Coturnix japonica: one gene and its partners. The protein of the gene in region 3 interacts with the protein of the main gene of each other region in a pairwise test. Links are inferred from orthologs where the notes say so. Each region holds a gene or a part of one and is shown on either strand. Other genes may lie near its edges.

Region 1 (4,446 bases), on a different chromosome or scaffold from region 3:
AGGGACAATTTATTAAACAAAAGGAAGAGGAATTTTTTGAAGCTTGTATTGAAGGAAAGTATTTTTTCCCATAGTAACAGCAGATCGAGGGAAAAAGAAAGAACGCATTCAGTGCGCAGTGGCCCAGAGTCAAAGCAGCACAACTGCTGCCACATGTTTTCATGTTCTTCTCTTCCTTCCAAAATATTACCGCCTCTCACAATAAAACGGTCTGTTCTCGTTTTAACTGAGAATAAAAGCTGAGTGGTTGATATAAGCACAACTTTTCCCTTTAATCAGAGCGATCATTTCCAGGGAACTGTAACATGTTCAAATTTCGTCTGCCTGGAAGGGCGTCAGATCTTCTCCCCAGCATCAAAACTATCACCCTGTCAGCCTATTATCTTCAGAATCATGATTGTCTCATTCAAGATTGCTGCACAGTTCCACGTCACTGAAGTTTCTCAAGTTGATTTGCTTTTTCTTTTTACTATTTAACACATTTATTAACACCAGGCAAAAGCTGCATTGCTCTAAAATTACCTTTTCAGCCTTCAGTGTTTTTCAGCCATGTTGCTAAGCATGCTTCACATTCAAACCTACATGAGAAAGCTTGCAAGATTATCTTTCCACACAGTAGTCAACTTGCTTGAGGGAACTTGTTCCAGGATATTAATTATGTATCTGTGGAGCATCAACAAGAAGCTAATTTTGATAGCAGCTATTAATGTAGGCACATTATTTCAAAGCTTTGACTCAGACAAGAACCTTGCAATCCACAGGGCAATCCCAGGTTCAGGGTTGACGATGCACACAGCAGAGGCTGATGGCTCTAAATGCTGGGCTGTGTGCATCCATACATGCCTCTCACCTCTCCAACTGCAGGTCAGGATCCTTCAGTTAAAGCCATGTACAAGCAGAAGCTGTCAGTCACCCTTAATGCATGCACTGCCTGAACAACTGGTCTTTGTCATCTTCAGAACAAAGGTGACAGTCGAGACAGAACCTTCTGGGACAACACTAAGTGGGCACACGAAATAAAAGCAGTAGAATTCCTAATATGCTGGAGATAAGCACAACGGGTGTGCTCTTCTCCTAGTTATGTTGTTTTTCCTGAAAATTTATTGTAGGCAAATGCTGAAGCACTAAAAGTAAATAGAAGTACAAGTAGAATGCCTGAGAGATGATACCAGCACAGCAGCTGCTCTCGGCTCTGCTGAAATCACACAAGTCCTGATAAAGACTGCCAGCTTTCCAAGTTTCTGCAAGCTTCAGTGCTACAAAAACCAGCAAACCTTTGTGAAGGCAAGTTGTACCACACTGATTACACCCACAGAGCTACAAAGGTACGGCACGGCTGCAAGGACAGTGAAACCTATGCAGAAAGGAGAATCAATAACAGCACAGGGCACCTTTCTACGTATGTAAAGTTTCTGTTTGTATTTGTAACAGCTGGACATGAAAAACAAAAGCCAGTCTTTTAATGGAAAAAGGGCCTCCTTCAGCAGCAGCCTGTCTGAGACACAAACCACTTCCAGGTAACTCAGCCCTACTGCAGTGTACTCTCAGGTTTGGAAGCCTGAGGCTACCGGTCATGCATGTGATCAGGAAGAACTAAATAAATCTGCTTGTAGCAGTGCTTAGATGTTAACAGCCCAACCCAGCAGCCACCAACTGCTGCAGTCCTCCCAGCTGGGCTCAGCACAGGATTCAGCACCTGCAAGTCAACTGGTTGTTTACATTTCCAGTTTATCACTTTGTGTTGTTCACAGCTGTTAGGGCTTATAGTTCCACAGCACATCACCCCATCTTCAGCTCTAGACGAGAAAACACTTGCTGTTTGTTTTTACATCCTCTCTGTTACATTCAGGCCATCACAGCTATGTGATGCGCAGCTATTTAGTTCAGAATTCCAGCTATTTTACCTTTTTTTAAGCACACTACCGTAGTGTTGACAGCAGACCATAGATTACTGCAGTATCCTTAGTGAGTCCTCTGTTTTCCAGCCACACACATCACAGCAGCTCTCCATGCTCTGACAGACCTACAGGCCGTGGCCATTTCTTCATTCCTGAAGCCACATGACTCAGGCAGCTGAAATCCACAGCAGGCCCTCAACATCTCGAGAGCTACAACTGGCTGGAGAACCAAAGAGCCTTGTAGGACCTGGACAGATGGAGAACACCTTTTGCCAGCCAATAAGCACTGACATAAACATCAAAATGTCAACACTTCTCTTTGTGCAGCAAATCCAAGTACTTCTGCCTCTTTCAACCTTTTCTTCCAACACTGCTCTGAATTTCGTTATGGTCGTTAAGGACCAGAGCAGTTCCTCAAAGCACAAAGCTCTGTCATACCTTAGTGAGCTCCCAATGCTTATCTCTCCAAGATATAATAAATAACTAAATAAATAAAACCAAGAGACTGATAAAACCAACAGGGCAGGGCAAGGCAAAGCACTGTAAGGCGAGGTGTGGGGGTCACGAGCACCCTACACAGCAGTACACTCGGCTCTGATAGGAAACTGCAAAGACAGTTCAGTTCGGAGCAGTAAGGCGTTTTGTTCGGTATAACTGGATAATAAACATTGACTAAAAACATCTCGGAAAGTTAACGCCTGCACACACACGGCCCCGCAACGCCGCCCACACAGCGGCCTCGGTGGGAGTGAGACCCCCCGTGCCTCCCCCCCTCCGCCACGAAGCACAACGCAGCCGCTGAATGCAGCCCCCAGGTGCCTCCCCCGCTCTGATAGAGTCACCTTACCGCTCACATTCCGGCTCTTCCTCGGCTCCCGGCATCGCGGCTCGCAGAGCTGACAGCCCGGCCGGGACTCGGTGCCGAGTAAAGGAGCGGGCAGGACGCGGGGCTGTCAGGGCGGAGCTGGGAGGAGACGCTTGTGCCGCCCCCAGAGCCCGCCCCGCTCCACAGCACAGAGCCGCCCCGCAGCGCTGCTCCCCGCCTCCACCCAGCACTGACGGCGATAGAGCCGCTAAAGGCAGCGGAACAGCAACTCACAGGTGGTAACAGAATCACAGAATCACAGAGTGACCCGGGTTGGAAGGGACCTCAAGGATCATGTAGTTCCAACCCCCCTGCCTGGCAGGGCCACCAAACATACACCTTTACTACATCAGGTTGCCCATGGCCCCGTCCAACCTGGCCTTGAACACCTCCAAGGACGGGGCATCCACAACCTCCCTGGGCAGCCTGTTCCAGGGCCTAACCACTCTCCTAGTGAAGAACTTCCCCCTAACATCCAACCTAAATCTTCCAGCAGTACTGCCCGCCTGTTATTAAAGAAGCCAAATTATGGTGAGGACAGAGATGTTCAAAGACACATTTCCCAGCCATGAAGGCAGCCTAAGCAGAGGGTCAAGTTCAGCAGTGAGAATCCTGCCCTGCTTTCCTGATCCCCGTAACTATTCTTCTCACTCCACCCTCCGTGGCTGCGTGTTGTCCAACTGTTATCCTGCACAGAGATGGTGGTTTCCTTCCTAACACCGAACTCACACCTTGGCATATTTGCAAAAGCTACAACCGAGAGCAGGCGGTTTCCTTTCTGCTGATGACTAACAACTTTTATGGGAACATTCCCTGTATCAGACATTTAAAGGCAAGCAGGCTTAATGCTATTCTCACTCCTAATTATTCTGAAATGGGTATGATGTAACTCGTTTCACCAAAATGATCAAGGAGCAATGCTTACAAACCAGGCTCACATCAAGCAAAAGTTCCTCTGGAAGTGGGGCTTGAAATAGGCCCCTGCCAAATCTGTGTATGGTCACAATGCTGCCCTAGCACCCTTCAGTTCCCCTACTGCAGAGGAAATAACATTCATGGCTCACATCCACCCCAAACCTCTCTCCTCCTCCTGCAGTTCTTCCTGCATCTCTGCTGTGCTCGCCTGTCACAGAACTTGGCTGGGGCACGGAACAGTGCCCAGGTGACTGTACTACCAGGTGGGTTGTTGCAAAATAGCAGAAGCTGCAATCTCTAACCACATGCTGAATGCCTACAGGCTGCTGGAAGAAGCGCCATTATGGCTCAGGACTAAGACACAGATCCCTGTGTTCTACCCTCATCTGACATCAGCCTCACCTCTGCAGATCTATTTCCTACCTAGTTCCTATCAATTTCTCATGCAAAATGAGGATAATATCACTCGTTTATGCCATTTGCACGTCTAGTTAGTTGTGCTCTTGTGACTTTAAAAAAAATCTTGTGAAATACCAAACAACTCTAATGCATCTCACTCACACTGTCAGTATCTGGTTTCATAATCAGCCACACTGAAACCGGCTGAATCACCTGAGAAACACAGCATTGCTAAAAAGGGGTGCGGACAGAGCAGTTATAAAGGACTTAGAAAATGCCACTGAAAAAGATGCTCATATTGTGATAATCATTCAGCAAATCGCAGCATTCATTACTTTCACCAGGCACTATTGAGCTGCAGTGGAATAC
Region 2 (4,221 bases), on a different chromosome or scaffold from region 3:
TTCATGGGCTGCAGGTAGGGGTCAGCTGCAAATGGAGAGTAATTAAGGCCCAGATGAGGGTTATTTGTGTTGCCCCATGCAGTAGTGATTTTTATACAGGGTTCTGTTTCAGTATACACAATGTCAGGAAGCAGCTGGTAAAAAGCTGTGTACCTTGTGTGCAGTATCGCTTGCTAGAATAGCACGATACTTCTTCAGTGGGTTTTGGCTTCTTCTCCCAGGCAATAAACAGGACCTGAGAAAATGGCCACAAGTTGTGCTAGAAGAGGTTTAGATTAAACATAAGGAAAAACTTTTTCTCTCAAAGAGTGGTCAGGCACTGGAATGGCTGCCCAGGGAGGTGGTGGAGTTGCTGTCCCTGGCAGTGTTCAAGAGGCATCTGGATGAGGAGCTACAAGATATGGTTTAGTAGCTTGTTGTAGCAATGGTGATGGGAGGATAGTTGGACTAGGTGATCTTGCAGGTCCTTTCCAACCTTGTGATTCAGTGATGCTTAAACCAAGCATTTAGCTTTGATGTTTCAAAACATGATCAAATTTCTTGGAAATATATTTAAAGTTATACTTTGAAGAGTTTAACTTCATGTAGTTCTACTTTTGTTTTTCTGATTAAAACTTTTGGCTTTTCAAAGGGTCCACGCTTTGGAGCAGCCAGATCAGTGAACATCTGAATACGCTCTAAGAGTTGTCACACAGGACTGGCTGACTTGAACTGGAGGAGGGAAGATGATGTCCTTGGATGGACTGCAGAAGAATATCAGTAACCCGGTAACTCTTATGTCAACAACTCCTCCCCCAGGAAATGGAACTTTGCTCTTTAATGTCAGAAATTAGCAGGGCATTCCTATGGCTCAGAGTGTTACTGAGAGCTCTTGATGTTGCTTGGGTGTGTGAGGAAAATCCTCATAGGTGGCTGTAGTATTTCTCTACTTGTACTCTGCAGCAGTGGCCTTGCACTGGCATGAGAAATGGGCTGGAGCTCTACTTCTCATTGTTCTTTAAAAACAGTTCTTTTGAGCCTTCAGGAGATGGTTATTTGTCATACTTCTAGCACAGAATATTAAAAAAAAAGCAACACCACTAGGTCTGTATAGAATCTCTGTGGAATAAACAGTGCTACGTAACTGTACAGGACTTCCTTTTCTCTTGTAGTTCTGCACTGATACAGTCCAGTGCCCTCAAGTGCATCTGACTGTTCAGTTCCACTGCTTGTTTGTTGCTTGTGAAATGGATAGACTAATAGATGATGGGGAAATGGCTTTAGGTTTCTTCACAAGAATCCATCTGGGGGAAGAAGGAAGGATGTGTGGAGATGGAAATAGAGCTGTAAGGACTGAATTGCAAAAGGGAGATGTGAAGAGGATCAGTAAATGTACAGGTGACATTGTCTGTGTAAGGAGAAGAGGAGGAGTTCAGCAAAACTGGTTGACTGTAAGTGGTCTGGTGAATATGGTGGGTGACAAAACCAAGCTGGAGAACATAAAGGAGTATTATTGGGGCTTAGGCATCAAGAGCCTGGGGGAGAATAAGAGCAATTATTTGGAGACAGAGGTGTGAAAAGTTGTTCCAGGCTCCAGACAAAGTCTGCAAATTGGTCTTTGAGGCCTTTCAAACTGAGTTAGTGTTGGCTAGTTGGCTTCATGGGGAACTTCTGGAGGTTTGTGAGAGAGTTGGGATGGAATCAAGTAGTGGCACAAGCATTATTCTTAATAGATGAGTTAAAATTAGCACAGCTCTTGAGACGTGAAGAAATGACAAGCACATTCTGTAATGATGGTCATTAGGTCTGTAGTATTACGCCCAGGAAATGCTCTATTATGGCCATGCAGATTCCATGACTGAGCTTCTGGACAAGAGATGGCTGACTTTTTTCTCTATTAAATGTATCCTTGCTACAGTGTTAAATAACAGTGTATACAGTGTATAACAGTGTACACAGTATACAGTGTATAACAGTGTATACAGTGTATAAATAACTTTGACCCACTGGAGTATTCAAATCCCAGTGTTCCTGGGCTGTGTCTGTGTGTTTCTTATTGGTTCATCTCTGGAGACCGAACCAGTAACTTATACCCTGCTGTGATTCTCAAAGCTACTGCCCCTCAGGAGCAAGCAGTGTGTTTAAACTGCATGATGTGCAGAAAATATGCAGAATGTATTCTTTCTTACGTATTATTATTTGGATGAAATTGAGTGTCTTTTGTACAGCTTGTAGACTATGGAACTAAGCTCCTACACTACTGCTAGTAAGTAAATTGATTCAATCAGTTTATTTGTTATTTCACTTATACTGCCTAATTTTATGTTCTCATCCTCCTCTACTGCAGTTGGCTAAGCCAGTAAAATCCACAAGTCTTTAAACAGTTTGGTCAGTTTCAAGCTTATACTTGTGAAGTAGGTCTGTATTATCTCTAATGTAAAAGGTGACTGCAAAGAAAGGTGCAATATGTGGGTAGCTGAGAAGGGAAGGAAAGGGAGAAGATGGAAATGAACAACGCTCTGGATTTAGGAGATTTTTTTTTTGTCATTCCCATTCTGTGTAATCAGTGATAGAACTAGAGGGAATGGTTTTAAGCTGCGCCAGGGGAGATTCAGGCTGGACATTAGGAAGTATTACTTCTCGGAAAGGGTAGTCAGGCATTGGAATGCACTGCCCAGGGAGGTGGTGGAGTCACCAACCATGGGAGTATTCAAGAAACGTTTGGATGTTGTGTTGAGGGATATGATTTAGCCAGGAAGTATTGGTAATGGCTGGACTGGATGATCTTCTAGGTCTTTTCCAACCCTGATAATTCTGTGATTCTGTGATACTCTCCACCAGAGTTGCTGCTTTTCCAATCACAGTTTTTCAAAAAAGAGCAAGCAAAGAGACAGCAGCTGTAGTCTAGTGTTAAAAAACTGGTGCAAGATGCCTCCTGCAACCAGCAGTAGTTAGTCCTTGACAATGACCTAATTTGAAGGGGAATTCTATATTAAAAGTGGAGCAGTAAAATATTGCCATTATTCTTTAGAGAGCTAGGCATGAAGACTGTAAATGTTTAGCTTTAATCTTATCTGAGAAGGCTGATCTTCAGTGATGAAAATCTTGGTTTTTCCTTCTCTTCGTGGCAGATATTTAATGCTTTACTAGTGTTTCATTTAAATGGAATACTAGTTGTCTTTCTTTTAATGTGCTAGAGCATCACTTAATTATCAAAAATATTGTTTAAAAAACTATATATTTATTTTGCCTCTGTCACAAATGGTTATTTCTGTCTTTTTTCCCTCCTTCTTCTAGGTCATTCCCTATGTCGGGACGATTCTTGGTGGCATTGTTCCTGGAGAGCTGATTGTGATACATGGGAATGTTCCTGATGATGCAGACAGGTAGTAACTACAGTATCACTTTGTGAATTAACATAAGGTGAACAAGCCTGTAATTAAGAAAATGTTTCCACGTGTCCTGTGATGGATGGCAGACAAAGACTTCATTTTTAGATGAAGCAATAGTGTCACAGAGGATACAACCTTAAGTGGTTTATGAAAGTTTTGTGATGAAAACTGGAGGATAAACTGGTTTTTTGCTTTCCATTGATCTTCTTCCATGGTTTTGCTTTGTCTGCTTTGGCATTATTTTTCTGTCATGTCATTCCACATGGCACATGCATATTTATCTGAAGAGGTTATCAGTTGAACTTGTATATGATTTCTTGACAGAATGAACTAAATGCGATTTGTTTTATTTTTATGTTTAGGTTCCAGGTGGATTTACAGTGTGGCAGCAGCATAAAGCCTCGAGCTGATGTGGCCTTTCATTTTAACCCTCGCTTCAAATGGTCTGGCTGCATTGTTTGCAACACCCTGGAGAGGGAAAAATGGGGCTGGGAAGAAATCACTTATGATATGCCTTTTGAAAAAGGAAAGCCATTTGAGATTGTCATCATGATTTTAAAGGATAAATTCCAGGTGAGTTTGGGTTAATTCTTGGTCCATTTGTTAGGCCAATAAAAGAGAGGGATTTAGCATACGCACAATATAATCAGAAGCCTTGGTTTCTTTGTTAACTAGGCATGGTTTAATTATAGAAAAGTTTAGGAGTTTTTTTAAAGAGATGCTAAGTAAATCACACCTCTCATTTTGCCTGATTCCCTTCAAGATTGCATGAGTAGGCAAGTAACTTTCTGCCACAACTAATGATTTTTCCACTCTTTTGTTTTCATCTGCAAAGGACAAACCATACTAT
Region 3 (4,389 bases):
AAAACTGTCAATTTTTACTTGCAGACTTTGCATGTCCTGAAATCCTCAATGTCATTCGTCCAGTTTTGGGCACCTCACTGCAAGAAAGACATTGAGGCCCTGGAACATGTTCAGAGCTGGGCAACCAAGCTGGTGAGGGGTCCGGAGCACAATGGGGCCGTATGAGGAGAGGCTGAAGGAGCTGGGAATGTTCAGCCTGGAGGAGGCTCAGGGGAGACCTTATTGCTCTCTATAACTTCCTGAAGGGAGGTTGTAGTGAGCTGGGGGTCGGCCTCTCATGTCATTAGCGATAGGATTAGAGGGAATGATTTCAAGCTGCAGCAGGGGAGATTCAAGCTGGACTTAAGTATTGCTTCTCAGAAAGGGTGGTCAGACACTGGAATGGGCTGCCCAGGGAGGTTGTGGAGTCACCGACCCTGGGACCCTGGGGGAGACCCTGGGAGACTGGATGTTGTGTTGAGGGACATGGTTTAGTGGGAGCTATTGGTAATGGGTGAACAATTGGACTGGATGACCTTTTAGGTCTTTTCCAACCTTGGTGATTCTATGATTCTACTATTCCCCGAGGACTTACAGAACAGATTAGATGAAATGTTGCCATGACCCTCTTCTGCTTCAAACCATCAGGCAAAACATTTTCATTCACAGAAGTGCTTTGACTCTCAGGTTGTTTTGCTAATTTTTTTTTTTTTTTTTTGAGCAACAGCTGATCACAACATATCATTCTTCTTTCCAGAACCATCCAATAAGCTGCAAGCCTACTATCCTAGAAATGAAAGCTTCAGCTTTTCTTCCCACTACCTTTCTATAGAAGCCTTGCAAATTTAACACTTCACATTGTTCCATCAGAAACCACTAGTTGTTACGTAAGACGAAGAAACTTAATTTTTGGTTAAAACTGAAACTAAAATAAAAAATTACTGTAGGATGCTTCCAATTGTCAGGCGGAAATCACACAGTAAGAGCCACAAAGTGACAACGCCCCCTTACAATAAAAAGCTCTGCTCCCCATTTACAAGATACAAGCAGCTGGCTCACGCTGAAGTTTCACAACAGCAAGACTAACACACGCTCCCTATTAAAGCATACATACATAAACCCCATATAGATGTACAGTCACATAAAAAAATAAACTTCTTTCAATCCTCTTTCAATCACATACCATCCACACCTCTCCTACCACAAACAAAACTTTTTCACATCATGCTGATGTTTCTTCTGAGTTTGTTTCCATTTAATATTTCTTTAACTCTAGCAGACTATCACTTCAAAGTAAATACGTATTCATGCTGATTTGATAATTGTACATTTATTTCATGCATTACTACATTTGATATCTCCTGCTCCATGGATTCTCCGCCATCCTAATATTTTTATCCACTGTGCTATTCAAAGCTACTGCAGACAGCTCTGTTCACAAGTTAACCTTGACACAAATTCTTCTAGTAACTTGTCCTTTCTTTAACTCTATGTTGAATGCACAATCACTAGCATATGCCTGAAATAAACTCTCACTATGGAATAAACACCATATCTGATCTTTTGAGACACATTTCTAAAGTAATAAAATCCCTGTAGACAGCCTGCCAATTTAAGTTCTATCACCCTTAGAATTACCATATACTTTACAAACAGGTTTGTTATCATTCCACTGTGAATCCAGGCAAATTTGTTTGACAGAGAAACAACTTACGTAACTGTATGGTCTACTTAATGTTTAGGACAACAGGAAACTGATATCCTCTCAAGAATCATTAAACAGGGATTTAAAACAGACCAGTCACTTTGTAAACACAGGCTCACAAACAAGGTGTTTGCAAGCCTATATTCAAGGAGAAGATAAAAACTTATTACCTAATCTTAATGAGATCTCTCTCACTCCTCTCAGTGGAAAAAAAAAAAAAAAAAAAAAAAGCATTTCAGAGTACAGGAGGAATGCTGCAAAACAAATACAACTAGTACATTCATCTTATTTGGTTTTGTGTACTATCCACACACATTATCTAGCCATGCATTTTACTGTACTAAACCCTTCTCATCCATTTGCAGCCAAATCAAAACTATCAACAGTAAAAATTCTGATACCACACACTGCCAGCCTACAAACTCAAATCAGCCTTTATACATTTCCTGTTAAGGCTTGCTGGTCTTTTAAACATTCTGTTCGGTCTTAACAAATTCAGGCCTAAGCTCTCTTACCCAATTCAGTAACTTGCCGATCAAAAGGACAGCGGACAGCCCTGCCGTGAAGGGGAAGCCGGGTCAGGCAGTCATGGCACACAGTATGGCCACACAGAAGCAGCCGAGGAACCTTATCGCCTTGCAAAGAGAACACATCTTCACAGACTCCGCACTCGAGAACCTACGATTTTAGAAAAGATACCATCTGTCTCCAGGCTGGGGGGGGGGGGAAACAAGACAACGAAACAAGACAAAAACACAACGGAAGCAGCACGGAGCAGCACGGAGCAGCCCTCCCGCGAGGAGCAGGGACACAGCCCCCACCCGGGGCCTCCCCGAGCGCCTCCCGCCCCGCAGCCGTTCACCGGAGCCCCGCGGTGCGATGGAGGAGCAGCGAGGCCCTACCGCAGCGGCACACACCGCCTGAGGAAACCCTGCAGAGCGCTCGGTACGCCTCCTCCCGGGCCCAGCAGGCACCTCCGCCACAGCACAGCACAGCAGAGCACCGGCTCGAGAGCAGCGAGCGGCCCCGCCTCACCTTCACGGCGGCGCCGGTCGGGCCCCAGCTGTTCCCAGCTCCGCGGCCGCCGTCCGGCCCGGCCGCAGCCGCAGCCTTGTTTACAGCCAGGGCCGCCATCTTGGACGGGGCGGAGCACAGCGGGCCGCGCAGACAGCACCCCTTCCTCAGTGTGCGCATGCGCTCTCCTGCGCCTCCTCCGAGAGCGGAACTGCAGTTCCCGTCGTGCTCCGCGAGGCCGCCGCCTGGGCACCCTCCAGAACTACAGCTCCCAGAATGCACCGCCACGGGGCTGCCCGCGGGACCCGCCTTCCTCGGGACGGGGGATGTGGGCTGAGCGGGCGCAAGGCCCTGTGGGGGTTGTAGTTTGTGGCGCCGTGGCGGTGTATGACGGGGCGTGTGTGGAGCAGCTGTTTCCGGGTTCAGCGGTGCTCGCTCTGCCCGCGCTGCGGTTACGCGCTTCTCGGCTGGTTGCGGCGCTCGGGCCTCAGGCTGCACCATGGACGTGAACCAGCCCAAGCAGGAGCATCTGCTGGCACTGAAAGGTACCGACCCTGAGCCTGGGAGCGGCCCGGGGCCGAGCTGCTGCCCCTGAGGCACAGGAGGCACAGGACGGCTCGGGAGCGACGGGTGGGAGGAGGAGGGCTGCGCCACGGGCCTGGCGAACCGGGATCTTCACAGGCTTCAGCACTTCTAACTTCTTTTTTTTTTTACTTTTTTCTTTTTTTTTTTTTATTTTATTTTTCTTTTTTCATGTTTTAACATTATAGTTTCCTGATTTTTCTTCCTTTTATGGCTTTTACCCTCAGTGAGCAGCCGCCGGCTTGTATTCTTGATTCAGATTCTTGATTGAGAGAAAAAAATTGGTAGATCTCATGAGGTCACAGAGCTAGAGCTGATAGCAACAAAAATAATGGTCAGATTTCTATAAAGAAGCTGGTTGTGCCAACAGGCACTTTGGTGCCATCGAGTTAGGAACTGAAGCACTGAAAACCCTGAATGTAGCTGCCCCTGATTGCAGTCAGTGGAAGTAAATCTACCTTCCTCTTGAACAGTGCTTGTTGGAAATAAGCATCGCTATTAAGGTGGAGTAGGGAACAGCTGAAGCCTCATCTGCGTGTGTATTTTAAGTGAGATGGCTCAGCTACATAAAGCAGTGGAGGTGCATAGATGATGTTAGACTCCATATTCTGTTTGTTTATTTTCTTCACAGTGTTTTTTGGGAGGGTTTTCAGCATCTTATAGTCAGATCTATTAACCGTAATTCACATATCAGCAACCACTTTTTCATGCATGTGCACAGACAGTGTCTAAGCCAAAACATGAGTGCAGGAAATACTGTCAGCTGCTACTACCAGCACATTTTGTTAGTAACTTATACAAAGGAACAAGTTGTATGGCATGACAGTTTGCTTGCAAGAAATCAGTAGGATCCTTGGGCTTGTATTGAATTTGATACACTGCCCAGGCTGTATATTTTGCAAATAGAAATCAGAAGGATATCTGAATATCTTTACATTTTCCCTATTTTATACAAAATATTGACAATGACATGATTAAGGAATTTGAAATTGTATTGGCTCTAACATTATTGTATATTGCTGATGTTTGATAGAGAACCAAAATGACTGCAAACTTGGTGGGCAGAGAGAGGAAGCTCAAGTTAGAGTGCATGTTATCATATGTTTTGT
Region 4 (3,193 bases), on a different chromosome or scaffold from region 3:
TTCCCCAATATTTTCCTCTTTTTCCCCTAAATTGCCTCTTTTCCTCTCCAAACTTTCTCTTCCCCTCCAATAGTTTCTCTTCTTCCCCCATATTTTCCCTTCTTTTCCAATACTTCCTATTCTTTCCTCTTCATTTTCTCTTTTTCCTCCATATTCTCTCTCCTTCCCCCATATTTCTTCTTCTTCTTCAGCATTTTCTCACTTATATCCCCATATTTCCCACTTATATCCCAATATTTCCCATTTACATCCAATATTTCCCTCTCATACCCCAATATTTCCTATTTATATCCCAATATTTCCTATTTATATCCCAATATTTCCCACTTATAACCCAGCATTTCCCATTTACATTCAATATTTCCCATTTATATCCCGTATTTCCCACTTATACCCCAGTATATCCCATTATATCCCAGTATATCCCATTATACCCCATTATATCCCATTATATCCCATTATATCCCATTATATCCCATATATCCCATTATATCCCAGTATATCCCATTATACCCCATTATATCCCATATATATCCCATATTTCTCACCTATACCCCAAGATATCTCAGTTATACCCCAATGTTTCCCATTTACATTCAATATTTCCCATTTATATCCCAGTATTTTCCATTTACCCCCATATTTCCCACTTATATCCAATATTTCCCCATTTTCTGCCCCTTTTCCCCCATTTCCCCCCATTTCCCCCTATTTTCCCCCAATTTTGCCCCTTTTCCCCCATTTCCTTTTATTTCCTCCATTTTTCTACCATTTCTGCCCCTTTTCCTCCATTTTTCTACCATTTTCTGCTCCATTTCCCCCATTTTCCCCCTATTTCCCCCATTTTCCCCCCTATCCCCACTCATCACACCCCAAATCAATCTCCATTTCACCCTATGTCCATTAATCCCCCCCCTGCAGTTAATTAACCCCCCCATATTAATTAACCCCCCTCCCCCCGCAGCCATCGATCTGTACTGCAATATTAACGAAGGGCCGCATTAATGCGGCTCGGATCAGCGGGGTTTGGCACCGCCGCCTTATGGGCCCGGCGTGGCCGCTGGTGCAGGCCCCGTTGCTATGGCCGTATCTCCATCCCCCCGTTGCTAAGGGCCGCATCCCCCCCCAACCCGCCCTTTGAGGCCCCGCCCTTCCGGTTTTAAACTTCCGCTTCCGGCTCGCAACTTCCGCTTCCTCCTCCATCTCCGGAAGTGCTGAGTGCCGCCATGGCGTCAAGGTTACTGCGGGTGGGCGCGGCGCTGCGGCTTCTGCCCGCCGCCACCGGGAGGAGCGTGATCAGCCGGCACTATGCAGCGCCCGGTAAGGACGGGACGGGATGGGGATGGGATGGGATGGGATGGATGGATGGAGGCACTGAGCGTCTGCCCCGCAGGTGACCTGGCCACGGATGAGGAGCAGGCGACGGGACTGGAGCGGAAAGTGATGGAGGCGATGAATAAAGGACTGGTGAGTGTATGGGGTATATGGGGTATATGGGGTATATGGGGTATATGGGGTATATGGGGTATATGGGGTATATGGGGTATATGGGATGGGATGGAGATGGGGATGGGATGTATGGGATGGGATATTATGGGATAGATGGGATATTATGGGATGGATGGATGGGGTATATGGGATGGATGGGATATATGGGATGGGATACTATGGGATACAATGGGATACTATGGGATACTATGGGATACAATGGGATACTATGGGATACTATGGGATACTATGGGATACTATGGGATGGGATGGATGGGATGGGATGGGATATTATGGGATGGGATGGGATATTATGGGATGGGATGGGATGGGATGGGATGGGATATTATGGGATGGATGGGGATGGGATGGGATGGATAGGATGGGATGGGATGGGATATTATGGGATGGATGGGATTGGATGTTATGGGGTGGATGGGATGGATGGGAGGATATTATGGGATGGATGGGGGGTATTATGGGATGGATGGAGGGTATTATGGGATGAGTTGGGATGGGGATGGGATGGGATGTGGCTGCCGTTGTTGGGGTGGGCCTCCCTCTGACCCCTCCCTCCCCAGGACCCCTGGAGCATGTTCCGGCCGAAGCGCTACGCGGGCACCAAGGAGGATCCCAACCTTGTGCCGTCCATCACCAATAAACGCATCGTGGGCTGCGTCTGTGAGTGGCCCCATGTGGCCCCATATGGCCCCTTATCTCCCCCCCCCACTTTATCTCCCTCCCACCCCCTGTTCTCTCTCCTCAGGTGAAGAGGACAACAGCTGCGTCATCTGGTTCTGGCTGCACAAGGGGGAGGCGCAGCGCTGCCCGTCCTGCGGCTCCCACTACAAACTCATCCCCCACGAGCTGCCACACTGAGCCCACAGGGAGCCCCCCCAGTGGGGTCCTGGGCTGTGAGACCCCCCCCAGCAGCCGTCTGGTGTTTGGAAGCTGAGCCACTGCAGCTCGTTCTGCTGTGTCCCCCCCCAACTTATAGAGAAAAAGAATTGAGTGTGGAAACACTGCGTGCTGTGTGTGTGTGTTGGGGGGCGGCAATGGGGTGGGGGGGGATCGGGGGAGGCTGAGTGTGGGGTGATGGGGGGTAACCCCTCCCCATGGGGGCTCCCTGTGGGTTGGGGCTGTTAAGGAACGCCCCATGGGGGTGGGCAGGATGATCAGGCACATGATGGGGTTGTGTTGGGTGCCCATCCTGCCCCACAGACACACAATGGGGTTGTATTGGGGTCCCCATCCCACCCCACAGACACACAATGGGGTTGTATTGGGGTCCCCATCCCGCCCCACAGACACACAATGGGGTTCCATTGGGGTCCCCATCCCCCCCATCCTTCTCACTGTCCCCATAGCTGTGGCTGGGCACAGACAGGGGCTGCGTTGTGGCCCCTCCCTTGGTGGGCGCTGTGTGTTGGGACCCATCCCCCCCTTTCTGAGCCCCCCCGGGTGCCCCCCATTGCTGTACCCACAGGGCAGCCCCCATCCCACGGCTGTGTGCTGTGTAGAGCTGGCACCCAGGTGGGACCCACTGTATCCCTGTCTATGGGGCTGGCCTCAGCCGCCCCATCCCGCAGCATGGAGCCGTAGGGACTGATGACGTCAAAACCACCGTTGACGTCACGAGCCCACCGTTGACGTCACGAGCCCAGCGGCCGCAGCGCTGAGCCAATGGGAGAGGCGGACGGGCGTG
Region 5 (4,374 bases), on a different chromosome or scaffold from region 3:
AATCCCAACCTTTCCACTGCTTCCCTAAATGCCTTAACCAGTAGACATCTGCTTACTGGCTTGCTTGCATTCCTCTTCTCTTAAGCCGCACTCTCTCTGTCTGCAAGGTGCAGCAGTTACCTCATTCCATAGAAGGCACGACAGCTGTTCCTCAGTTTCCCACCAGCACAATACAGCAGCTTTCCTCCCTACAGGCCTGTATCAGCCTCATGGAAGGGGCTGTAAACTGCATTAATTCTGCAGTATGGAAAGAACATGAGTATAATACACCTTATTGCATTACAGCTACCCTGCTGAGTGCCAAGTGATGCCACAGCAGCAGCGATGGGGTTGGGGTTCCCCCACTGTGGGGTTTTTTGCTCACTCTTTCCATAAAGAAAGGCTTTGCCACTCCACCAATTTGTGGTCGTCTTCCAGCTCAGTCAATTTGCAAGACTTGAAAAGAAGAGGTGATGCACACAAGGGACCTGGCAGCGCTCGTCCCTCCCTGTGGTTCTTGCTAAGGCTCCACCAATGGAGAATAGTTCAGGGCTAGGAATAAACATTTGTAAGCAACAGCTTTCCTGCTAATTGGTTTTGTCTGAGTGAATACTCCCTCAAGTTACAACACGACCAAGGCTCCTTGTCAGGAGAAACTTGCACATGTGTATGATTCATTGATAAAGCCCTAAATCCTGTGGGCTTAGCAGCAGCAGAATCAGCACAGGGCAAGCACAGACCTTACCAGAACAGCACGAACACTCTGGGAGAGAAATCAAACACCATTTAAATCCTAGGTGAAGGTTCCTCCACCCAGCTCTGCTTGCCTACGTACAATCAAGGTGGTGTAGGTTCATCTAAATATAGGGAGAAGCTTTGTCTGGTTCCAGTCAGGCTGCAAGGCGAAGATGGCATTGCATGAGAACACCAAAAACTGTGCAAGGAGAGACAGAAAAGCTCTAAAAAAAGAGATGTTCCTCCAGCTTTATGAGTTAAACATTCTTAGCACTGTAAACTGTTCTTCTGAATTACGTGTAACTCAAGAATTTCCAACAGTGGGTACTTGTACGTGCCTGTTCACCACATCAGAGCTCTTGGGCTGTGATTAAGGCTGGGATCCAGCAGGTCTGGGTGCCCTTCCAGCTCCTGCCATGGGCTGGCTGTAACTTTAGGCAAATTGTTTTATGTGACCGCTTTATGGGTCTCCTTTCTGTCATCTCTCCTTCCCTGTCTGGATAGACCACAAGGTCTCCAGCCTGAGGAGAACTGAATGTAGTGGGACCCTGACATTCACTGGAGCAAGTGGGATAATGGTGCATCCACCCAGAAAGCAAACTTGAGTGAGAATTCAGGCAAACAAAAGTGGAAGACTTTCATTAGAGAGAGCACTGGTTCACACGCCAGTCCCATCTCTTTAGATGTCCATCTTTTGAGACGACTGCAGTAACACTTCAGGGAAAAAATTAATCGCTCTATGTTTGCACTAAGTTGTATTTTTCATCATCTAAGCTTCAAAAGACTTTTCCTACAGGTGGGGCTCAACATCATTATCTCCATAACAGAAAATACAAACAAGAAAGCAGAAGCTCACACCGGGGAGCTGAGATCACAGTTTTCTGTTGTAACCACAACCTTGAGCAGTACTGATCTGTATGCCTTCCCAACCACCTCCCTTGCATCCCAGGATTATATTGCAGCCATGATTTTAGGAGAGGCCATAGGATAGAGAGAAAAAGCTCTGTAGTGACATTGAGTTCCATTGGAAAGATAATTAGGGGGGGAAAAAAAGCAATTAGAGAAGTGTTATGTTACCTCTTTGCCTGCTTTCTCGATCTCCACCGTCACTGTGCTGTGGTTCTTATGCTCCTGGAACATGCAGAGGTAGCAGATACACATCTGGTCTGTCTGACAGAACAGCTCCATGGTCTTCCCATGCACAGGGCATTTTCTTGCTTCGAAGTCCCTGATGGGGTCGAGGAGCTGATGGTCCCGGAAAGCTGCTCCCTCCAGATGAGGCTTGAGATGCAGCTCGCAGAAGGAAGCCTGGCACACCAAACATGACTTGACGGCCTTTTGCTTGTTATCGATGCAGGAATCGCACAGCACATCCTCCAGCTTCACCCTGGGCCGTGAGCCAGCTGCTCTGTCAGGCACCTTGTTGAAGGTGGGTCTTCTCAGGTCTCCCGTCTCCACCAGAGGCATGGATGGTTTCTTCATGTCCCCTATCTGCCCACTGGAGAACAAGGGCTTCCTCCCTTCCCCTTCGTTAGGCAAGAAGCTCTTTTTGGAATCCAAGTTGAAGAGGGACTTCCTGAGGTCGCCCTTGTCTGCAAAGGAGAGTGGGGTTCTCCTCATGTCTCCTATCTGTCCGCTGGCAAATGGCATCTTCTTAGAGTCTGTCGAGTCCATGCTGAAGTAGGTCGATCTCTTCTCATCGGACGACTCCACAAACTGAATGATGGGCCTCTTCCAGTCACTCCCAGAGAAGAGAGAGCTCTTGATTTGTCCGGTCTCCAGGGAGGTACCTCCAGTGCCCTTTATTGGCTCTTTCTCGCCTCCGCTAGGATTCGTCGTCTTCTTCACTTCTTCATCCTTCTTGGGGGCGGACGGACTCTTCACATCCTCTGGCTTCCCAGCAGTGCCATTTGTCCTTGCTGCACTCCCTGTTTCCATCGTCAAACCAAAGCAGGTTGGCTTCTTAGCTCCTCGGCTCTGTCCTGTCCCCCCAGTGCTGTTCCCCCGACCCCTGGAAGCAGCTGTGGCCGTGTGCCTGTCTGCTGGCCGTCCCAATGAGGAATGACGGGGGAATGCAGGGAAGCTGCTGCCCAAATGACGCACCTGGAGCTCCTGCAAGGAGGAGGAGATGAGCTCTGGATAATGCTAGGTAGAGGCAGGGAGAAAGAAGGAAAGAAAGGAACAGACGTTACCAGGGATCAGAAGCCACAGCTGTGCAGTTAATTATACAAGGCGGTCCACACCCAGCAACATTCTTGTCTAACCAGGTTTGGGAGGAAGGGCTGTTTATATACATAGAAATGCTCAGGAAGAAAAAAAAAAGAAAGAAAGAAATGATTTTCATTAAGATGCAGTAACCAGTTCGACCGCTTGTTTCAAAAATAAGTTTGCCAGGAGCTGAGGTTACCTCCTTGCTGAGATGGGCAGGGTCAGAGAGACCATGGGATGCCGAGGATGGGTTTGTTAACTGGGTCATACACATGTACAGAAATAATTATGGTCATCATTCAAATGAATGCCTAGAATAAAGCATTCTTAAACCGGGTTCCCCCGAGGGCTTGCTGCATTCAATAGAACAGGGAGGGGAAACACGGGGATAATACTAGGCTTAAAAGACCCCTATTATCTTTATTTTGATGATGATGTTGGGTTTGTGTCAGATCCATCCATCTACAGCTGGAAACAACCAATGTTTTCCAACCAGAACACAGCTGACCCGAAATATAAGTCAGCCAGGAGCTGTGTTCTCCTGCAGGCCATGCAAACACAACTTATGTGACAAATAGAAGAGCCCACCCAATGCCCATTTCATTGCATGTTCTCAGTGCAACACAAGTGTTCCTCCCATAAACATGCACTGAACTGAGAGACATATCTGAAAGGTTAAGTATATTGCAGATAGATGGACAAAATGCTTCTTGCAAGAAGAAAGAACTGCAAGGGAGTTTTAAACATATGCCTTTCTCCCTCCATTAGCCATATTGCAATCCAAAAGAAAGATATTCAAGTGTCATATCAAGCAACTTTGGTAGTTTTCCTTCTTCTCTTCCCTGGCTTCCCCTTCATTTTCCATTTCCCCATTGAGAGGGCACAGCGGAAGGGAGAAACAGCAAAATTATTTCAAAGCTCATGAAACGCTCCTTTCATTAAGGGAAAGGAAAAAAAAAAGAAAGAGAGAAGTCCACACCCCATAATGGTTTTTATTCAGCCAACTGGAATGACAGATTTCAGAAGAAAAAGGCCCTTTATCAGCCCTGCTGAATTCCATCAAGTTCAAAAGAAGGAGGTGGACCCTACACCCATTTCACATCAATGTAGCATAGATTATACTCTGAACTTCAGTGAGATTGCTCTGAGATTAACATGCAGGCTGGAAATTAACCCTGCCCAGTATTTGATTTGTACTTAATTTGATTTTTGCTGGGTAGGATGGTGTCACTGGTTGAGTATGAGATTATTTTCTTTGCTGTAATCATTTCTCATTGGGAATCTGTAGCAAAACCACTATTGGAAGGGTGCTAAGCAGCAGAGGAAGAATCCAGGTCTGTGTTTTGCAGCTCTCTTTTAGGTGTGGAGGAAGTGGAGGTGCAACCCCAACAGGAACAGCCTGCGTTTTGGATCTGATATGAGATACCCAGGAAGCGCCTGTCTTATAGATAA
Region 6 (4,146 bases), on a different chromosome or scaffold from region 3:
GCACGAGTCTCCTGACCTCCATACACCAGTTCAGTTTCCTGTGGCGCTCCAGTGAAGTCTGGGTGGCTTGGTCAGTCAGGGCTTTCTGAAGCGTTTCCCGGAATTGAGGGCAAAACTGGCACATTCTGAACATTTCTATAGTGTATCTGTGCATAGTCCTGAAGTGGTGAATTATTCCACTGGGGGGTTTGACCAGATCTTCAGGTGTCCTCTCTCTAATCTTCACAGCTTTCAGCATATTGCTCTGATACAAAGCCTGAGGAAGGATGTGCTGGCCAGCCATGTTCCTAGACAAAAATCTGAAATGAAAAAGAAAAGTGTTCTCTTACTGACTTGTTAATTGCCCTTGCTCTGCAAGGTTTGCACAGACTGAGAATACACTTCCATGTGTGGAATTCTAGTTGCTGTTTTGCCTGTTAGTACACAGAGCGAATGACATCCACTGAGACTTATACCAGTTCTTATTGTTAACATTTACCTCTGTCAGCCTCTCTGCATTACACAGAGATAACTACTGAAGAGCTTATTCCACCCATTTATTGTGATCATTCATTGAACTCCTGAAGAGAGTTCATTCTTCACTAAGACGATTACATCATTGTACAAAAAAAAGGCACTTAAATGAAAGCAAGGAAAGAAAAAGGCAAGATCAAGGGAAGGGAAAACTATCTTGGAAACTTGACTAATTGATAATTGCACACTGTAACCACCATATGAACCTGCTGAACTTTCAGCACATTCCAAACTCTTGTTTTGATGACATGCCAAAAAAACAGATAATGTCCATTTCAGATTTCCACAGCTCATGCATTCTGATAAGTGATGCTGGTATGATATAAAAAGAGCCTGGATATCACACAGTGTGCTAGATTCTGTCCCATACTTACATTGGCTGGAGATGGTAAAAGAGGTATTAGTGGCAGATCAAGCACTCAGGGCCAGACCTGTGCTACTCTTCTTGCGGCTCCTTCTGTTTTGTGAGCAGAATAGCACTGCAGAGGTGCTCGTGCAATGTGTGGGGGAACAAGCTGCGGTGCCACTATTACTCAGCGGTAAGTCAACATCGCTGAAAAAGCATTTCCACTTGGCTCAAAAGCCCCAATATTTTTCCATAGTGGGACAAGCAGCATTTACTGCCCTGCATCCCTTTCTTCCATACCTCTGGCCTGATGGGCTACAGCAGGAAGAACAACAACAAAAAGCCAACCAACCCCATAACCTCGAAGTATCTGTAGTCTGAAATACTCATTCTGAGCACACTAACTCTGTGTCTCGCTGCAGCCAGATGCAGGGACCACATTCACACATCCCTCCTGTGCACTGCAGTAACACCATGAGCTATTATTTTTAGATGGAGAGACTACGTGCTGTCCATGTAGACTGCTGCTCTGCTCACACAACCAGATTTCTATCAAGCGAAATGAAGGTCTGCATACCTAACATTTAGAATCCAGTTGGTCACAGCAGGAGTGAGGATTACAAATTTAGGGACAAATACTAAGTCATACGTATAAATCAAGACCTTGATACATGCCATGCCAAGTATAGGGCGACCAGAAACAAGAGAAAGCTTCCTAACAGCTGCTTCTCATCTATCCCTAACCAATATACTTTCACACACGCCACTCACATAAACCATCCATATATTTAAATATGGGATTGAGGAATGACATATAAACATATTAACCTCTTTAATAACCACGTCTCTGCTTTGCTCGGAGACGGCCAGAGTACTGAATTCCTAAGTTACGTAAGTAGAGTCATTGAGTCAATGAGGTTTTTTTACCCAAATAAAGGCTTATCAGATGATTAATCACTACTGGCACGGACCCTTGAAGTGGTTATTTCCAGCTTTAGGTAACAAAAAGTACTGAGTCTACAGAAGCATTCACTGGAACCGTAAATTCAATGTTCTGTTCTATTCTACGGGCACATTTTCCCCTCCAAAAGTGGAAACTACTGTCTGTGGCAGTTACCTCAAACATCAATCAAGGCAACATCAGAGCAACCCTGACTATGAGAAACAAAGCAATGAAGCAGCTCAGCAGCCACAGAAGCTGACAACTCAAAGCACATTAAGGCTGTACTTGCTAACACCACACTGTGCTTCATTGCATGGCCACCCTACATGGCCTTTAAACATGTAATTACTGAGCTCCCAGGAAAAGAAAAAAGTTGCAAACAGTGCAGCACATAGTTCCCCAGCACATAATATGGAAGATGCTGGTCTTGGGGAACCCTGTGTTCCGTTCTCCAGCTCTGTCCCCTAACCGAAGAAGCCAATGGTAAACCCCTGCCGGCCGAGCACTGCAACGAGCCTAAAAGCCTCCTGCAGCCTCCAGCCTCCGTCCCTCGGAGGTGCGGGTGGCAGCAGCCCCAGCCAGGCCTCGCAGCCGGCCGCCCCCCGCTCTACCTGCAACCCCGGCCCACCGCCAGTCAACAGAGGGCACAATTCCACCGCTCGCCGCGGGACTGCTAACAAAACCTCCACAATACAGTCGGGCAGCCTCTCTCCCAGCCCGAGCATTGCTCACCTCTCGCCCGGCGGGCTCCTCCAGGCGCGGGCTCGATCCGCCGCTAAATGCCGCTCAGCAGCTGGGCCGCGGCGGGGGCACACAGTCAGGCTCGACCGCCATCAACACCCAGCCGGCAGCAGGCCCGGGTTGACCTGGCCGCTCTCGCGTCCGCCGCCCCCTCCCCTCTCCGGAGCTGCTGCCGCCGCTGCCTGCGCTGCGGAATGAAGGGCTGAGCTCAGCCTCTTGTTTTCTTTCCCCTTTCTGTTTCAGCGCATGGACAGGAAAAAAAAAAAAAAAAAAAAAAGACAACAACAAAAAAAAACCCCAGCGGGGATTTCCACCGTCAGCGCTTGGGACTTTCCGACATGTGACAACAGCAGCGCAGGCATCGCTGGCTCCACGTAGGGCCGGCAGGGGGCACCGAAGCGCTCCCTCCGCTTACAACCTCCCTGGGCAGCCTGTTCCAGGGCCTAACCACTCTCCTAGTAAAGAACTTCCCCCTAACATCCAACCTAAATCTTCCCTCTTTTAACTTAAAACCATTTCCCTGTGTCTGCTACTGTCAGCCCTTTCAAAGAGTTTACTCCCCTCCTGGGAGTAAGTTCCCTTCAGGTATTGAAAGGCTGCAATGAGGTCACCCCACAACCTTCTCTTCTCCAGGCTAAACAAACCCTCAGCCTGTAACAGGTAACAGGTAACCTGTAACAGGTTCTCATCCAGCCCTGCTCAAGGCAGGCAAGGGGCAGAACAGGCTGAGGCTATGGAGGACTTCATCCTGGAGCCACTGGCCAGTTGTGGCATCTCATACCTTTAATGGCTGCGGGCATGTAATTCGCACCTTTAAATAGCACCCTAAAGCCTGTGCAATGGAAAAAGTCTGAATAAAGCACTTAGGGCCTCTTAATAAAGCATACAGATGTGATCTCAATTGCAAATGGGCAGCTCCTTGCCTGCAAGACTTGTAACCTGAAGGCAGGCAGAAATATAATACAAAAAAGTCTTTTTTCAGTCCTAAGAGGCTTTCTCCAGATGCTGAACGCCTGCCAATTCCAGAGCACCCACAGGTCCCACTGGTTGGATGAGAAGCTGGAGTTGCCCCACACCTTAAAATCAGGCCTGTCACAGAACAGGCGGACCTGGAAAGAGCTCATACCTGAGCTTCCTTGCCTCCATTAGCATCAGCTGGCTCAGCTCGTGCCCTCATGGCATCTGTGCAACTCTGTGATGGCATGCTCCTTCTCACTGCTTAAAGCCCTGTGTTTGGCTCTGTGTGGTCCGCTGCCCTTCTATCTCTGCCTAGGAATACATAGGAAGGCTCTGCGCTTACGGATAGTCTGAGGGCTGACTGATATCCAAGGAGGCTGCGTGCCGGAGGAACTGGGTCTGAGTGATTACTTACATAACTGGGGCTGCACCCGGGGTGTGGTTTACCCAGTGGATATTGTCTGCAACAGAGAAGTCCGTTTAAAAAAGAACCTGCTATTCCCTGTTCCTGGTTGTTTTTCTTTGTAACCCTGATGTGTGCTGAGGTACTGGGATACTGAAGTGATCTGATTAGAAGCCAGCTATATATATGTATTTATGTATGTATGCATACGCACGCACATGTATATATAACTTAACCAAGCCA
Region 7 (3,334 bases), on a different chromosome or scaffold from region 3:
AGAACTGCTTCAGCTTTAATTATCACAGGGTATTAAGAGCTGTATTGTGATGTTTACATCCATTCTTCCCTGTTTTTTGTAGATAGGGACAGGCTATCAAGCAGATCCAGCCTCTACCTCGTATGAAATGCTCTTATTTCTACATTACATCAGAGAGGAAAAGACAACTAAAAAGCCTTAACTGTCTTGTTACTTACCTGAGGTTTTCTGCAAACCTCCACTGGGACATGTCCAGGAATCCTGAGCTCGTATTTGAGATAAACTCATTTTGTGTTTTACACTTACCATGTAATCCTAAGAAGGAAAAACCTGGCTGAAAATCCGCCTATAAAGGGTTAGGCTGAAGGTAACGTTCAGCCTCGAAAGGTTTTGTGGTGGCAGCCCTCACTCTCACCAGCCTGCAGTGCCCTCCAGGGAAAGCACCTTCAGCTGAGCTGTTCCCCTGGTGAGGTTTTCCATCAGGACAAGAGATGATGGTTTATGTCGCCCATTTTATGAGAGCAGGACTTTGCATCAGGTATCTACATGCCATGAAAGCTGTTGCCAAACCTCACACATATTCTGACCTGTTTTAATTTTTTTCCTTTAATACTGAACCTTTTTTTCTTTTTTAAACAACGGTGTTTATTTTGTAAATCATTTTTTTTTATTTATCTAAAAATGCACAATTGAAAAAAAAAATTACCTTTTGAAATACATTTACTTATAGGCACTAATAGATTTTATGTAGCAAGACAGTGAGCGGAGCCGCTCGAGGCACTGCTGTGGTTTGAGCTGTGCTCCCCAGAGGGCAGAGCTGGGTACACCACCACCAGCACAGCCAGCCCAGCCCACTGCTGCCATGGCTTAAAGGAAACCTGCAGTGTAAAGGTGACAGTCTGGAGTCTTACACCTAAGAATTGCTAAAGAAGATGGCTCTAAATTAAACAAGTTGGCTTGGGAATGTGGGAAGCAACGTGCCGCCTCTCCTCCATTCTTGTGCTGATTTGAATTTCCTCAGGCTCTCAGGAGAGCAGCAGGCTCAGCTTCCTGCTGAGAAGCCACGATAACATGGCACCTTGCATTAATGATACCAACAGACATCATTCATAGCAATTAGTAGCTTTCCTTGCTACCCTATGAAATACACAAAATTTGGTGGAAAGTAGTTGAAGACGGCACTGCAATTTTCCTTTAAGTAGAGAAAAATCAAGTTAAAAATCCACTAAAAGCATATATGAGTATATAACCTTCTAACCCTAACCTTATTGAAGGAAAAAAAAAAAAAAAAGTTCAGGTTTTTATTCATTTCTTGAAGAAAACCAAAAGAGGCAGAGGCTGCCCTGGGACTGCAGCACACAGACTGCAGCTCAGCAGCAGCAAAGCAGCGCTGCTTCCACTCTGTGCCACCTGCACTGCTCTGCACTGCTCTGCACTGCTGCCCCCCAGCACAACCACTGCACTGTGAGGTGGGGCCGCTCCTGAAGCAGGCAATGTTTGTCACTGGCAGTAATGAAACAAACCATTGATTCAATGAATGAATTTAGTTGGTTTAAAGTTTTAATTCCAAGATGACGACCCCTCCTAATCAGCTTGAGATTTTTATAAAAATTCACATTCTAAATCAGCTTTCACAGTTAGTTAAATAGATGGGGCTGATCCTTGTGTGGAATACGATACACAGCCTTTGACTGACTTGGTTTCTGTACGTCTCAAATAGTTTAAAACACTGCTTTGCTTAAAGTTCTACCTACTGGTACCTAATATACTACTGAATGTGTACAGGCATCTTCCCAAAAACCCAGCTGGGGGAAAGAAATGCTGCTTTTCCAACAACCTGCAGTCTCACACGACTCGGGACAAACAGGTGCTCAGAAAGGCCCCATGAAGCACGCTTCTGTGGGGTGGTTTGCACAGGATTTGTGGGTTTTCCTCCCCAGCTGTACACTGCATTCAGCTCAGGGGCTGAATTAACAGCCCAACGCAGCGGCAAAATACTCTCACTTTAAGTTTTCAGTTAAAAAAGAAAAAAGAAAAGTCATGAAACAAATGCATTTCTACCCCCTCCCACCCCCCCCAAACCCCTCCCAGTTCTAAGTCTGAAGGAGGGAATTAATAAAAACACATAAATGGATGCTTTAAAATACACAAAGTAAAAACTGAAATTTGCTATAAACCATTTGCGGAAGAGGCAAAGTAGCAGTTATACAAACAACACAAAATCTACTGAAATTCTTACATTAGTATAAAGTGATTTCACTGAAGGAATTATTTCAATATTTCACATTACAGTTAAGATAGAGGAGGTGTGCCCAACACTGACACCCCAGTTAATATCATCTATCCTAGATTACACACGACAGTTTAAGAAAAGACCCTTAAATGATCTACACCTGTAACATCTTATTGGCTTAAAAAAAAAAAAAAAAAAAATCACTTGCAATACCTCACAGAATCTTCACTTTAAAGCATGACCACCTTGTGAGAGTCCTTGTCAAATAACCTGCAGAGATAGGGGAGCATCTCGCTACAAGCCGCTCCTCCCCTCACCCGCTGACTGGGCACCAGTCGGTTTCATCTGAGAAAAAAAATTCAAGTAAGACTAAGCTGTGCTGGCTTTTGAGAGTGTCTGCAGATGGTTCAGGTGCTGGAGGTCCAGACATGCATTTGTTTTGCTATTTGGTGCACGTAACCAATGTCGGGTCTTTGATCCGGATCAGGATATATGCACATGCTGACCAGCTCCCGGAGCTGAAAGACAGAAAGACATTGGAACAAGAATGGATCATTTCTTACTGGCCGAGGATCTGGGGTTCCCCAGATGGGAGCTGTTGTGGCTGATGCTGCTCACTTCTTTCCACCCCACCTCTACGGAAGAACCACAGTTAATCTGTACACATCTTAAGACAGGATGCCAGAACATGGCTGTCAGACCCCAGCACTTCCTCGAGAACCTCTGTGAAGGAGAGAAACCGGCCATTGATTATGTTTAATAAATAAAATGCAGAAGGGCTCAAGTACCCCCCACCTCCCTACCCTCTTTATTGTGCACATGAAAGATTGTAGCTTTTAATTATACAGACACTGAAAGCTGCTCGTACCCCCGAGGCATTGGGAGAAACAGCCTTGAGCCTCTGATCTTCTCACATCCTCCCAGTAGCCACAGTGCCAATTATTTTAATGGTAATTAAAAGCATGACCCTACAGCTATCAAGCACACAGTTCATCTGCATTACTGAATGCACCCAAATGAGGCCGCAGCTCTGCTTCCCGAGTGCAGGGTCGCTGCGGGGCCTGAAGCCACCCCAGCAGGAACTGGCAGACCCGACCTCAACATGCAGCCCCAACCGGTGCC

The links.
Region 1: the proteins of TRIM23 (region 3) and ARHGEF3 interact in binary tests that used the Homo sapiens proteins (3 or more experiments, as listed by UniProt). The link is inferred for Coturnix japonica from reciprocal best matches to the Homo sapiens genes TRIM23 and ARHGEF3.
Region 2: the proteins of TRIM23 (region 3) and LGALS8 interact in binary tests that used the Homo sapiens proteins (3 or more experiments, as listed by UniProt). The link is inferred for Coturnix japonica from reciprocal best matches to the Homo sapiens genes TRIM23 and LGALS8.
Region 4: the proteins of TRIM23 (region 3) and cytochrome c oxidase subunit 5B, mitochondrial interact in binary tests that used the Homo sapiens proteins (3 or more experiments, as listed by UniProt). The two-hybrid records come from large-scale screens. The link is inferred for Coturnix japonica from reciprocal best matches to the Homo sapiens genes TRIM23 and COX5B.
Region 5: the proteins of TRIM23 (region 3) and TRIM29 interact in binary tests that used the Homo sapiens proteins (3 or more experiments, as listed by UniProt). The link is inferred for Coturnix japonica from reciprocal best matches to the Homo sapiens genes TRIM23 and TRIM29.
Region 6: the proteins of TRIM23 (region 3) and TNFAIP3 interact in binary tests that used the Homo sapiens proteins (3 or more experiments, as listed by UniProt). The two-hybrid records come from large-scale screens. The link is inferred for Coturnix japonica from reciprocal best matches to the Homo sapiens genes TRIM23 and TNFAIP3.
Region 7: the proteins of TRIM23 (region 3) and NEK6 interact in binary tests that used the Homo sapiens proteins (3 or more experiments, as listed by UniProt). The link is inferred for Coturnix japonica from reciprocal best matches to the Homo sapiens genes TRIM23 and NEK6.

What each region holds. Positions count from the first base shown.
Region 1 is NC_029527.1:6,265,148-6,269,593, forward strand, and holds the start of ARHGEF3 (rho guanine nucleotide exchange factor 3), read right to left. Parts: upstream 2,875-4,446; 5' UTR 2,781-2,874; coding exon 2,746-2,780; intron 1-2,745. UniProt on the Homo sapiens protein: Acts as a guanine nucleotide exchange factor (GEF) for RhoA and RhoB GTPases.
Region 2 is NC_029518.1:33,916,864-33,921,084, reverse strand, and holds the start of LGALS8 (galectin-8), read left to right. Parts: upstream 1-1,222; 5' UTR 1,223-1,226; coding exon 1,227-1,430; intron 1,431-3,276; coding exon 3,277-3,365; intron 3,366-3,733; coding exon 3,734-3,944; intron 3,945-4,221.
Region 3 is NC_029547.1:14,354,146-14,358,534, reverse strand, and holds the start of TRIM23 (E3 ubiquitin-protein ligase TRIM23), read right to left. Parts: upstream 2,857-4,389; 5' UTR 2,819-2,856; coding exon 2,720-2,818; intron 2,363-2,719; coding exon 2,200-2,362; intron 1-2,199. Other genes in the region: TRAPPC13 (trafficking protein particle complex subunit 13), read left to right, coding at 3,198-3,243.
Region 4 is NC_029537.1:873,368-876,560, forward strand, and holds cytochrome c oxidase subunit 5B, mitochondrial, read left to right. Parts: upstream 1-1,198; 5' UTR 1,199-1,226; coding exon 1,227-1,320; intron 1,321-1,393; coding exon 1,394-1,467; intron 1,468-2,069; coding exon 2,070-2,169; intron 2,170-2,254; coding exon 2,255-2,367; 3' UTR 2,368-2,508; downstream 2,509-3,193. UniProt on the Homo sapiens protein: Component of the cytochrome c oxidase, the last enzyme in the mitochondrial electron transport chain which drives oxidative phosphorylation.
Region 5 is NC_029539.1:3,276,096-3,280,469, reverse strand, and holds the start of TRIM29 (tripartite motif-containing protein 29), read right to left. Parts: upstream 2,964-4,374; 5' UTR 2,907-2,963; exon of another isoform or gene 2,827-2,906; 5' UTR 2,653-2,826; coding exon 1,792-2,652; intron 1-1,791.
Region 6 is NC_029518.1:49,374,756-49,378,901, forward strand, and holds the start of TNFAIP3 (tumor necrosis factor alpha-induced protein 3), read right to left. Parts: upstream 2,910-4,146; 5' UTR 2,535-2,909; intron 300-2,534; 5' UTR 284-299; coding exon 1-283. UniProt on the Homo sapiens protein: Ubiquitin-editing enzyme that contains both ubiquitin ligase and deubiquitinase activities.
Region 7 is NC_029532.1:7,853,641-7,856,974, reverse strand, and holds the end of NEK6 (serine/threonine-protein kinase Nek6), read right to left. Parts: intron 2,731-3,334; coding exon 2,620-2,730; 3' UTR 624-2,619; downstream 1-623. UniProt on the Homo sapiens protein: Protein kinase which plays an important role in mitotic cell cycle progression. Required for chromosome segregation at metaphase-anaphase transition, robust mitotic spindle formation and cytokinesis.